Linked DNA regions of Cricetulus griseus. The protein of the gene in region 1 interacts with the protein of each later gene in a pairwise test. Links are inferred from orthologs where the notes say so. Each region holds a gene or a part of one and is shown in the gene's direction. Other genes may lie near its edges.

Region 1 (5,592 bases):
AGGCATATGACACCCTCACACAGACAAATGTGCACGCAGAACATCAATACACGTAAAAATAAATACACAATATTTGTTAAAAATAAGTAAATGAAATTTAAATCTTTCTTTAAAATAAAAACTCTGCCAGAGAGTTTACTTCTGTAAGGCCACAGAAGCTGTTCTACCAGGCATCACATACCTGACCTGCTGAGTCAACAGTGCTCTCCTCTCTGTGGTAAAAACGTGCTCTCCCAGATACAGGTGCTGCTGGCTTCTGCCCATGCTGCTCCCCACTGAAGGCTGGTGTGCTTTCTTGCTAGCTTGGTGTCTCAGACTATTTTTGAATATAAAACTAACAAAACATTAGCATGGGAAGTAGTTGTTTTTATGCAGTTAGAATGAGCATTTCAGGAAGACTCATAATGGCCAGAACTAAAAAATTGCTGGGGAATTAGGGGGAAGAAAACTTGCAACAGCCAGAATAGACCATGTGCATTAGAAAGATTCTGCAGCGGACCTCAGCCCTGGTCTCCAGGTTGAACTTATAGATGATTTTAGGCTCTAGTTTTAGCACTCAACTCCCACGGTCAGTCCTTGCTTGGAGCTAGCAAAACACATTAAGTGGAGAAGGGTGACATGTTGATAAAAAATTATTCTGGGGCTGGAGGAATGGCTCAGTGAGTTAGGAGCACTTGCTGTGAAAGCAAGAGGACCTGAGTTCAAGTACTCATCACCCATGGGAAGGCCAGGTATGGTTGCATGTGCCCAGAATCCCAGTGCTGTGATGGAGGTGAATGAGTCCTAGTAGCTCCTAGGCCCTAGCCAGCCAGCTTAGACAAAATAGTGAAATTTCAGGCTCAGTTAGAGTGTCCTGTACTGCCATGCCCTGCATTGCCATGCCTTCCAGATGAGATTGGTCTTCTCAGGAAAATCCCTTCTACAAATTGTTATCACAGAGGTGACTTAGACAGTTGGAGTACAGTTCAAGGATAACAAAGAGAAAAGGACAGGAAACTGTCTATGAGCAGTACCTGTCCCTAGTGCAAGCAGTGCTGGTCAGCTCCAGCCTCAGATGTGACAGACACACAAGGGAGGCTTTCTGATTTCAGAACATAAGAGACTGCTTGTTTAGGGCCCTCACAGGCTAAGAAACGTGTAATGATGGCTACATCTGAGTGGGAAGAGGAGCCAGAAGCCAGCAGGAAGGTGGATGGAGAGAAGAAGCAGTCTCATGGGGAACGGCTGCCTCAGAGCATAAGCAGAAGGGCAGTTTGAAGTAGAGGGTGGAGAGCTCTTAGGCCAGCATAGAGAGGGATGGAATAAAAGGCTTAGTTATTTATGTCAACACTGATATATGTAAGTGTTAAAGCTAGCTGTGGGGGCACAAACTTGTCATCCCAGCACCTGGGAGGATGAACTAGGAATGTAAGGTTACGTGAAACCTTGTCTCAAAAAGAAAAGCTGCTTTAAAGAATGTGCATTCCATGTTGTAAGCGGTGGCTACTGTTGAGGTGGGTTATGTCTATTTCTGAGAAAATACATATTGAATTAATGAATTTACTTTATTACATTTATTTGGTGTGTGTGCATATGCCATGGCGTGCATATAGAGGCCAGAGAACAGCTTGCAGGAGTTAATCCTCTCCAACCAACACTTGAGTCCTAGGGACCCAACTTAGTTTGTCAGATTTGGCAGCCACTGCTTCTACCTGCTGAGCCATCTTGCCTGCCTGAATGAATGCACTTAAAGACTTACACTATTTGGGAACAGGAATGCCTTTGTTTCTTTTCTACTGCTGTGACAGAACACCGAGAACAAGTCAACTCATTAAAAAATGTTTGATTGGGGCTTATGGTTCTAGAGGTCATAGTCTATGACCATCATGATAGGGAGAGTGGCAGCAGGCACAAGGCTGGAGCAGTAGCTGAGAGCTCACATCCTGATCTGGAAGTAGGAGGCAGAGCTAACCTCAAATGAAGCCACACCTCCTAACCCTCCCCAAATAGTTCCATTAATGTGAGCATTCAAATATGTGAGTATGTGGGGCCCATTCTTACTTAATTCCCCACAGGGAATCATCAGTTAGAATGAGAATACTTCATGCCTTTCATAATACTTGATAAAGACAACTGAAAATTTTAATACATAGAATATATGGATGTAGCCAGGTGGTGGTGGCACATGCCTTTAATCCCAGCACTCAGAAGGCAGAGGCAGGCCTCTATGAATTCAAGGCCAACCTGGTCTACAGAGTGAGTTCCAGGACAACCTGGGCTGTTACACAGAAACCCTGTTTCAATATAAATATATAATATATAATATATATATAAATTATATATATGTTAAGCCATGAAAACCATATATATAAGCCATATATATATGTGTGTGTGTGTGTGTGTGTGTGTGTGTGTGTGTGTGTGTGTGTGTTAAGCCATGAAAAATTCAGCTCATGTCTCCCAAATTTCATTTGCCTTTTTCTTGTCTTACAGAAGCCTTGCAGAGGCCAGTGGCATCTGACTTTGAGCCCCAGAGTCTCAGTGAAGCAGCTCGATGGAACTCCAAGGAAAACCTTCTTGCTGGGCCCAGTGAAAATGACCCCAACCTTTTTGTGGCACTATATGATTTTGTGGCCAGTGGAGATAACACTCTCAGCATCACTAAAGGTAACAGGGAAACAGCAAGCAAGGGTCGGGGTGTGTGGTTTGGCTGGCCTGCCCTTTGCTTCCTGAGAGGGCAGAGATGCCTACAAAGCACAGTGCCCACCCTTAGGAGACTCAGGGGCAGCAGTCCTGTGCACATGATTCCCCATGTTCCTATAGAAGAGGACACCTGACGCCTTTAATCCCAGCACTCGGGAGGCAGAGGCAGGCGGATCTCTGTGAGTTCGAGGCCAGCCTGGTCTCCAGAGCGAGTGCCACGATAGGCCCCAAAGCTACACACAGAAACCCTGTCTCAAAAAACCAAAAAAAAAAAAAAAAAAAAAAAAAAAAAAGAAGAAGAGGACACCTGGATCTCAGGCTGAAAGCATGGAGTTTTGTTACTGTTTTTTATCACCAAGTAAAAGCATTTTTCCTTAAAAAGTTTCCTTGCAGTAGCAACAGAACTTTTGATCAAATTTGTATAATCTTAGATGCCAAGGCAGAGTTGTCCTCTGTACACTCATGACTAACAGGAAAATGAGATATGCTAGAGAAAGGTTACAAAGAAGAAAGGCAGTCATCAAAACTGATACATTTATTTGGTTCTTTTCTCTAAGGTGAAAAGCTCCGGGTCTTAGGTTATAATCACAATGGGGAATGGTGTGAAGCCCAAACGAAAAATGGCCAAGGATGGGTACCAAGCAACTACATCACCCCTGTCAACAGTCTGGAGAAACATTCCTGGTATCATGGGCCTGTGTCCCGAAATGCCGCTGAGTATCTGCTGAGCAGTGGGATCAACGGCAGCTTCTTGGTGCGGGAGAGTGAGAGTAGTCCTGGCCAGAGGTCCATCTCCCTGAGATATGAAGGGAGGGTATACCACTACAGGATCAACACCGCCTCTGATGGCAAGGTGGGTAACCACCCTGGACTGGGACCAGCAGTGAGCTGATGGGCTGTGGGGGACATACAGGGGAACATATATGGTAGCCTAGGCCATTGAATTATGTCAGTAGGCTCAATCAGAATGTCTCAAGCAGGCTGAATTACAGGCTTCAAAGTACTGAATTACAAAGTACTTTGAATCAGTACTTCAAAGCTATCCTTGGCTACATAGTAAGTTCAGGGCCAGCCTGGGCCACATAAAGACCTTGTTTCAAACAATCAAACCAGACAGTGTCTCAGGGCCAGCCTGGGCCACATAAAGACCTTGTTTCAAACAATCAAACCAGACAGTGTCTCAGGAATCTTCTAAGTAAACAGAAGACATTTTCATTAGCTTCACAAAAGACCATTGGTTGCCAGCCACTGTCAGCTGATATCACAGGTCCTGGGTCTTGGTGTGTAGGATTCTCTGAAAAACCACAGGAATGCTGTTGGGTCTCAGATGTAAGTTCTTATGTTAAGACTCTTCCTTTTCATAAATTCTTTGTGTTTGTTCTTTGATTTTTTTTGATACAGTCTCTGTATTTTGTAGCCCTGGCCATCCTGGAAGTTACTCTGTAGACCAGACTGGTCTCAAACTCACAGAGATCTGCCTGCCTCTGCCTCCCAAGTGCTGGAATTAAAGGCGTGCGCCAACATAGCTCAGCAGCCCTTTTTGTAAACTTTTATAGTGATGATGATTGATCTTTAGTCAGAGAAATTCAAGCAGTAGTCATTCATTATGTGTAAAGCTACAGGCCCCATAACAGCACCTCCTTGACCTGACAACCAATGTTCTTCCTGTGGTAAAGTGTGGGTGTAGACACATATAAATGCACTCAGATTTTAACAGAAGTCACATCAAAGTACACCAATTGGCCTCCCTGTAAGCACAAAGTGTGTTTTGTAATCTTTGCATAAACATTGCTCCTTAAATGTCCACAAAGAGATGGGAAAAATCCAATTACTGAGGCTTAATCAGTGCTAGTGTCTTGGAGTTCCTCTCTTTAACCCTCACCTCCACCCCTGGAGGCTACTGATGCCATCTGTATTTTTGTATCAGTAAGAGGGGGGCTTAGAGGGACAAGACTTCTAGTTCAAGATTTTCATATAGGGAGTAATTGGTAGCACCAGGCTGGGGCCCCCCTCTTCACAGTGCCAGGTTCTGTTAGAGGACAGCTTTGATAGGCAGATTGCATAGTAAAGATGGCATTCTGTTGCTGTGAAGAGACACCATGACCAAGGCAGCTCTTCCAAAGGAAACCTTTAATTGGTGTCTTGCTTACAGTTTCAGAAGCTTAGTTTACTAGCATCATGGTGGTGATGCTTAGGAGAAGGAAGCTTGGTGGCAGGCAGGCGGGTGCTGGAGAAATAGCTGAGGGCTACATCCTGATCTGTAGGCCAAGTCAGAGAGGCTGGGCCTTGCATGGGCTTTTGAGACCTCGAAGCCCACTCCTAGTGAGGCAGTCCATTCAAAAGAGCCTAATCCTTTCAAATAGTGCCACTCACCACTCCCTGGTGACTAAGCATTCAAACTAATGAGCCTATGGAGACCATTCTTATTCAAGCTACCACAGCATCTAAACTATTTTGGGGGAGCCTGACTCCATGGTATAAAGCCATGCATATGACCTGTGTTCTGTTGTTGTTTGCTGCAGCTTCGGGCGATGAAACAGAACCACACAACTCAACAAACCCACATGGAGTTTATTGGGAAAGAGAGCGGTTTAGAAGGAGGCTCAGTAGTTGGGGCGGTTGAAATTGGAGTCATGGAGCTGGCATTGGCCCAGTTCACCCGGTTTCTGTGTACAGAGTCCTTATGCAGCCACTTAAAGCAAGCACAAATGAGGTAGCCATGCCACACAGGGCCCTTTGAGCTGTCTAAGTATCTGCCTAAAGGCTGGTTGCATACCCTGCCAGTTGTCAAGGGGCAGGGTCAGCATAATGCCAGGATACCAACAGGTTCTATCTGCAGAACTACAGTTAATGCATGTCTTTGTTTTGTTTTGTTTTGTTTTGTTCGTTTTTAGAGACCGGGTTTCTCTG
Region 2 (6,298 bases), on another chromosome or scaffold:
TGGGGCTTATCCTGGGATGGGTGGGGTATCGGCTGGTTCTATGGTGGGAAGAAAGCAAAGGTCAGACAGATGGTCTGAGTGGAGGCCTGGGGGATATCTAAGCAAATAAAAGAAGGCAGAAGAAAAAGTAAATCGTTCCCTGGGAGGCTTGGTAGTATCAAACTTTACTACCTATCTTTTAAAAAATTCTAAAATATGTCTGCCAATATTCCAGCCTTCACGCTCGCTCTACAGTCCGACCATCCTTTTTCTTTTCTACTCACTGTCTGTCCAAAAAAGATGTTTGGAGAAAAACATGCTGCACTTAGAAAGACCTAGAAACAAAACTGGGCTGGAAACAGAGAGAGAGAGAGAGAGAGAGAAGAGAGAGAGAGAGAGAGAGAGAGAGAGAGAGAGAGAGAGAGAGAGATTGGAGGATTGGAGGGCTGGGTGAGCGGTGCTTGTCTTGGTGGAAACCAGCAGTTAGTGGCTTCCTCTTAGCTTCCTCTACCAGGGGCTTTCTCCTCCCTGGGAGGGGGGAGGCTTATTATCTCTCTCCTCAGAAAGGCAGGGTATTATTGGTATTTGGACCTTTGAACATCCCAGAAGTGTGCGTTCCCATCATGCTGACCCTCAAAATCTGCTCAGGGACCCTTCCCCACTGATGAACAAGGTGATTTCAAAGACGCCTTATTTCCCAGACTTCCGTTTTCCCCACTGGTAGGCGACCACCAGGGAGTCTGCCCAACCTCGATCCCACAGGGAGAAGCTTTAGTTGGTCTCAAACAGGTTTGACCGCCTTGCCCCTGCTTGTCTTTACAGCCGCAGCTGCCCTGATCATCAATATTGACTGCGGCGGCCTGGCGGCCTGGATTGCCACCCTCCAGTTACCCTGCCTAAATTTCAGGCCGCCCTCTCCCGGGGCCGCCAGGGGGTGACTCCCGGATTGGAAGCCAGGGCTGCATCAGGAAATTGTTTGCTCCCATCTCATCTCTGTGGCCCTGCTCTTTCTCGTTCACCAGCTCCCTTTCCTCAGCTGGCTTCTCTTCCTGTGCCCAATGCCTGCCTTGTCTTGGTAACCAGTCCCTAATCTCTTCACAGCCCAGATTGGAAGGTGTGTCCCTCCTGCCACTCCTCGGAGCTCTCACCACCCTCCAGGTTTCCATAGCTCCATTGCTCAACAATTTGCCAAGGGTAACCATTAACCCAGCCCTTAGCTCTGCTCCCCACCGTCCCCTGTGGAGAGGATTTTCCAGTCACTGGGCAGCAGAGCCAGGTCACCTCACACCATCTCCCTGGGCCGCAGGCAGGATCTTCTTATTTCAGGATTGCTGAGACAGTTTTTAAATTATGTACTTATAGTGTGTGTGTGTGTAAGGGCACAAACAGCACAGGTGTGGAGGTCAGAGGTCAATTTTGTTAGTTTTTTCCTGCCGTGTGAGTCCTAGGGATGGAATTTAAGGCAATTTTCCCTGACCAGCCAGCCAGACTTAAAGGCTTTATTTATTTATTTGTTTATCGTAAGCTATATTTCTTTCTTTCTCCCTCAGAAACTCCTTCTGTCCCACCCGGCTCTATCATGGACGAGTTATGATACGCGGTGTCCTTTGGTCAGTGGGCTGTGGGTCGGGCATAAACCGATACGCCTGGCGTTGCGTGTCGTCATTATGTCTGCTTTCGGAATGCTGTGTCAATCATCCAGAAACCGCACTTCCTCTTCAGAGGTCCCGAAAGGATCAGGCCCCGTGGTGCTCGTGTGGGGGTGGCCGTGCCCCGCTTTCAGGGACCGGGCATGGCGGGCGCAGAAGTAGGGTTGAAATGACAGGTGGCTGTCACTCCCACTTATTTATCCTAAGACACTCGTGTAGCGCTTACTCTGCTTGCTGGACGCCGCTCTGCAAATATTAGCTGTTAAATTGTATTTAATATAGTTAAATATTTGTAAATATTAACTCGGTGGGTGCAAATATGAACAGAGTGGCTGCCGTTGGCCTGGGCCGGGTTAATGGTGCTTCTCGCCACGCTCCGGGCAGGAGGAAAAATGCTCTGGCCCTTTAAGGTCGGCCTCCCCACCGCCCAGACCCTTTTTCTGGGCTGCGACTTGGGCTCGCACAGCGACCTGCTGGCGGGCGAGCCGGCGAGCGGGCGGGCGGGCGCCGCCCTGCCTCAGTCAAAGCTCGGAAACCCTGGCCTCCCGCTGCTTAGCAACGGCAGAGGGCGGGAATTTTGAACGCGCCGGCCCCGCCCCTCTTGTAAACAGACCAATCAGCGAGTAGACTCCGCCGCGCTTCTCCCGGTACTCCCTCTCTTCCTATTGGATAGCTAGGCAGGCTCCTCCAGCCAATGGCGACTGAGAGGGCGGGGCGAGCGCGCCCCCGCCCCGCCCCCAGACGCTCGCCCTGCCCCCAGCTGGCGGCCGTTGGCCAGTGAGGTGGAGTGTGGCCTCTGAGGTGACGGAAAAGGCGGGAAAGCGCCGCGAGGTGGCGGCGCTGGGTGGGGCGGGGACGGAAGAGCGCGGCCGTGGCTGCCGGGGCGTGGGTGGCAGGAACAGATTTGACGAGTGACAGAAATGAGGGTGGGACGGTCGCACGGGGTTGTTTGCAGCCTAAAGAAGTCGCCCTCGAAGGAGAAGCCTCCCTCGGGGAGCCGCGACGGGCGCTTCACCCCGCCCAGCCACCCGGTGAAATGTGGCTTCTCCTCCCACGTCCTCAGAGTCGCCGAGCCCATGGCTTTCAGAGCCACCCCGGGCAGGACGCCGCGGGGACCCGGCTTCCCCGGCCCACAGGCCCCGGTGCCCCGGCCTGGAACTATTGAGGAGGAGGACGAGGACGAGGAGGAGGAGGAGCCGGCTGAGGTGTGGGAGGGAGGAGCGAGCGGGCCGGGAGGACTGCGGAGGGCGGGGCCCAACCTGTGTCTCGGTGGTTGACTAGGTGCCCGGTGCCTGTCTCGGAGGAGGGTTCAGATACTGATCTCGTGTCCTTCCTCATGGGGCAGATCCACCTGTGCGTGCTGTGGAGTTCGGGACATCTGGGCATTGCTTACTATGACACTAGCGACTCCACTGTCCACTTCATGCCAGATGCCCCAGACCACCAGAGCCTGAAGCTTCTCCAGAGAGGTGGGACACGACCCTTGATTCCTGACTCTGGGCTTGGAATTGTGTCACGCATACGTCCTTACGTGACTGAATCTACTTTATAGTCACCTGTTCCGGGGAATTAATTATCCAACACAACTGTATTGTACTTACTTGCTCTATATTAAACGCTGCAGATTTGGTCCCTGGCAAACCACTCATGACTTTAATCTAGTGGTATTTTCCAGAACGCCCCTCTTCCCCTCCCCCCGCCCCTGCAATATTACTACTTTACTAAATCTCATTCCAGACTGTGCTCCCAGTCTGTGCAGAGCACTCCCCAAACAGACAGAAAATAAATTCTCTTATTTTGGTTTTGGTTTTTTGAGACAGCTCTGTCTGTCCTGGAACCTGCCATGTAGGCCCCGCTGACCTCCAACTCAGAGACTGGCCTGTCTCCCTAGTGCTAGAATGAGAGGCATGCACCACCATGCCTGGCTGAGAAAATAATTCTTTAGGGGAACAGTGGCAAGAAGAGAGCTGCCGCTTACCTCTTTGTCCATGTGTAGAGCTCCTTTGACTCTTTGGTCCCTTCTCTTTTCAAGTTCTGGATGAAGTCAACCCCCAGTCTGTCATTACAAGTGCCAAACAGGATGAGGCCATGACTCGGTTCCTGAGGAAGCTTGGTAAGGATGGCCTGAAGAAGGGAAAATGGAAAGAGGCTACTGAAGTGTGGCGTTCCGAGATGCAGGAAGGGACAACAGGACTGAAGTGTACAAAACCATGGTCCTTTGCTTCCACAGCCTCCCAGGAGCACAGACAGCCAAAGAAACCTGAGATCATACTTCTGCCCAGCGTGGATTTCGGTAACTACTTCACACTGCCTGACCCCATCCCTGTCTCTTCCCTTCATTTCACCCCATTATCAGAGACCTCCCCATCTGTTCTCATCTGAAGGTGCCTCCCGTGCCCCAAGGTCTCTCCTGCACCCAATCATTAATAATCTAACTAATTGAGAAGCCATTGGGTTAGTTACCTTAGGATGCCCCCACCCCTGCTGAGAAAATGGAGTGATGATGCCTCTCAAACAGCTTTGAATGTTGGAGTTCCCCTTTAAGCCAAAGTGTTTTATTGCATCAAAAGGAAGGGCACTGTTTCTGGGATCCAGATGATCCATAAGACACTTCCTACTTGGCAAACTCCCAGGTTTACAAAAAGGACAGGGGATGTTCTGTCCTCATTAGATATCTGGACATTAGGACTACTCTTTCTTTTATCATAAGATCTTTTTGATCTAGAAAATCTACAATCCCAGACATCATTTGTCTTTCCCAGGTTGTGCTTATAGCCGGACATCTATATTACACAAAGAAGAGAATCAGACTCAGTGTGCACCTGTGGGTTCTTGCGTTAGCTTTCCTTAACCAGCTCTGTGGACTTGGGTTGCTTTTGCTCTTGTTGTGTTGGGGTAAGAAAGTTGATTTATAAGACTTTTTTCCTCTCCTTATTCCCCAAAATAGGTCCAGAGACAAGCAAGCAGCGTCTCCTTTCTGGAAACTACTCATTCATCCCAGAGTCCATGACTGCCACTGAGAAAATCCTTTTCCTCTCCTCCATTATTCCCTTTGACTGTGTCCTCACGGTGAGCCAGGTCACTGGGGTTTGGGCTGGGGAAGGCTGAGCTCACAGTCCCAGTCCCAGGCTGAGTTGGGCTGGACTGCCCCAGCCCTGGAAAATGACAGTCTTTGTTGATATTGGTGTTGTCCAGCTTCTGGAACCCTAGGCTTTATTCCAACTCCACTGCTGACCCCTTCCAGGTCCGGGCACTTGGAGGACTGCTCAAGTTCCTGAGTCGAAGAAGAGTTGGGGTGGAACTGGAGGATTATAATGTCAGCGTCCCGATCCTGGGGTTTAAGAAATTTGTATTGTAGGTGATGTAAAGGGACTGGGAGGTCTCAGGAGTAAGCCAGGAGATTGGACACGCGTGCTGGGACACGGGAGAGGGATGGGGACAGTGGACACGTGTGCTGGGACGAGGGAGAACCAGGGGATTGTATTGCTCTGGGAAGATCAAACAGTACTGAGACAGGAATCAAGGCAGTGGAGCTTGTAGTGAGCCGCCATTCCCCAGCCACCTTCCCTTTGGCTTGTTTTCTGTTCTTAGGACCCATCTGGTGAGCATAGATCAAGACACTTACAGGTGAGGTGCAGATAGACTGCTCTGCCTCCTCCAGAAACACACGGGTTGAGCCTAATGCTCTAATAATCCTAATGAGGCCTAGTCTCTCTAATCCTGGGGCTGCTAAGATCTCTCTCCTTGAAGGGAAGGAAAGCGTGATTGGGGGGGGGGACTACAAAGGCATCACCTCCCTTTCCTTTCCTTTTTGCAATGTTGGGGATGGACCCCAGGGGCTGGTGCCTGCCAGGCAAGCATTCTGCCTCCTGAAGTGACAACTCTAGTCTGCTGGTTTCCTTTCTTTCCTGTTTTTTTTTTTTTTGTGTGTGTGTGTGTGTGTTTGTATTTTGAGACTGGGTCTCTCTACATAGCCCCACTGTTCTGGAACTTACTATATAAACCAGGCTGACTTTCATTTCCTTTTCCTAAGGGGAGAAGCTGAGGCAAATCCAAAAGTGAGTAATAACCCTCACATCAAGATTATTATTGCCAGGGGTGGAGGCGCATGCCTTTAATCCCAGCACTGGGGAGGCAGAGACAGGTGGATCTCTGGGAGTTCAGGGCCAGCCTGGTCTACATAGTGAGTTCCAGGACAGACAGGGCTATACACAGTACAAGAGAAAACCTGTCTCAGTTCCCCACTCCTTTTATTGTTGTTATTTTAAAAAATTAAGGTTAAAGTAGGAACAGGGCTCAGTGAGCAAAAGCTCTTGTTACTCAACTTTGAGGATCTGAGTTTGGATCTGAGTTTTATGTAAGTGCTTGGCATCTCTGGCTGCCATCTTAGCCAAAGAAAATGTGGAACTCTGGGTTCAATGAGAGACCCTGTCTTGAAATAGAACAAGACAGAGAGACAGAAGACAGCCACTTCCATGTCCTCTGGCTTCTCACATGTGCATGGGAGCATGCGCACCTGCAGCAAAACATGTGTGCACAGGCAGGTGTGGTGGCTCATCTTCAGTCCCAGCCCTGGAAGGCAGAGGCAGGGGGATTTCTATAAATTCAAGGCCAGCCCAGTCTACACCATGAGTTCTAGGACATCCAGGGCTACATAGAGAAACCCTGTC

Evidence for each region.
Region 2: the proteins of Abl1 (region 1) and Msh5 interact in binary tests that used the Homo sapiens proteins (3 or more experiments, as listed by UniProt). The link is inferred for Cricetulus griseus from reciprocal best matches to the Homo sapiens genes ABL1 and MSH5.

The regions. Positions count from the first base shown.
Region 1 is NC_048599.1:143,502,761-143,508,352, forward strand, and holds part of Abl1 (tyrosine-protein kinase ABL1), read left to right. Parts: intron 1-2,472; coding exon 2,473-2,646; intron 2,647-3,239; coding exon 3,240-3,535; intron 3,536-5,592. UniProt on the Homo sapiens protein: Non-receptor tyrosine-protein kinase that plays a role in many key processes linked to cell growth and survival such as cytoskeleton remodeling in response to extracellular stimuli, cell motility and adhesion, receptor endocytosis, autophagy, DNA damage response and apoptosis.
Region 2 is NW_023276806.1:231,562,748-231,569,045, reverse strand, and holds the start of Msh5 (mutS protein homolog 5), read left to right. Parts: upstream 1-2,462; 5' UTR 2,463-2,548; coding exon 2,549-2,833; intron 2,834-2,973; coding exon 2,974-3,097; intron 3,098-3,660; coding exon 3,661-3,741; intron 3,742-3,858; coding exon 3,859-3,921; intron 3,922-4,575; coding exon 4,576-4,697; intron 4,698-4,872; coding exon 4,873-4,982; intron 4,983-5,219; coding exon 5,220-5,255; intron 5,256-5,661; coding exon 5,662-5,686; intron 5,687-6,298.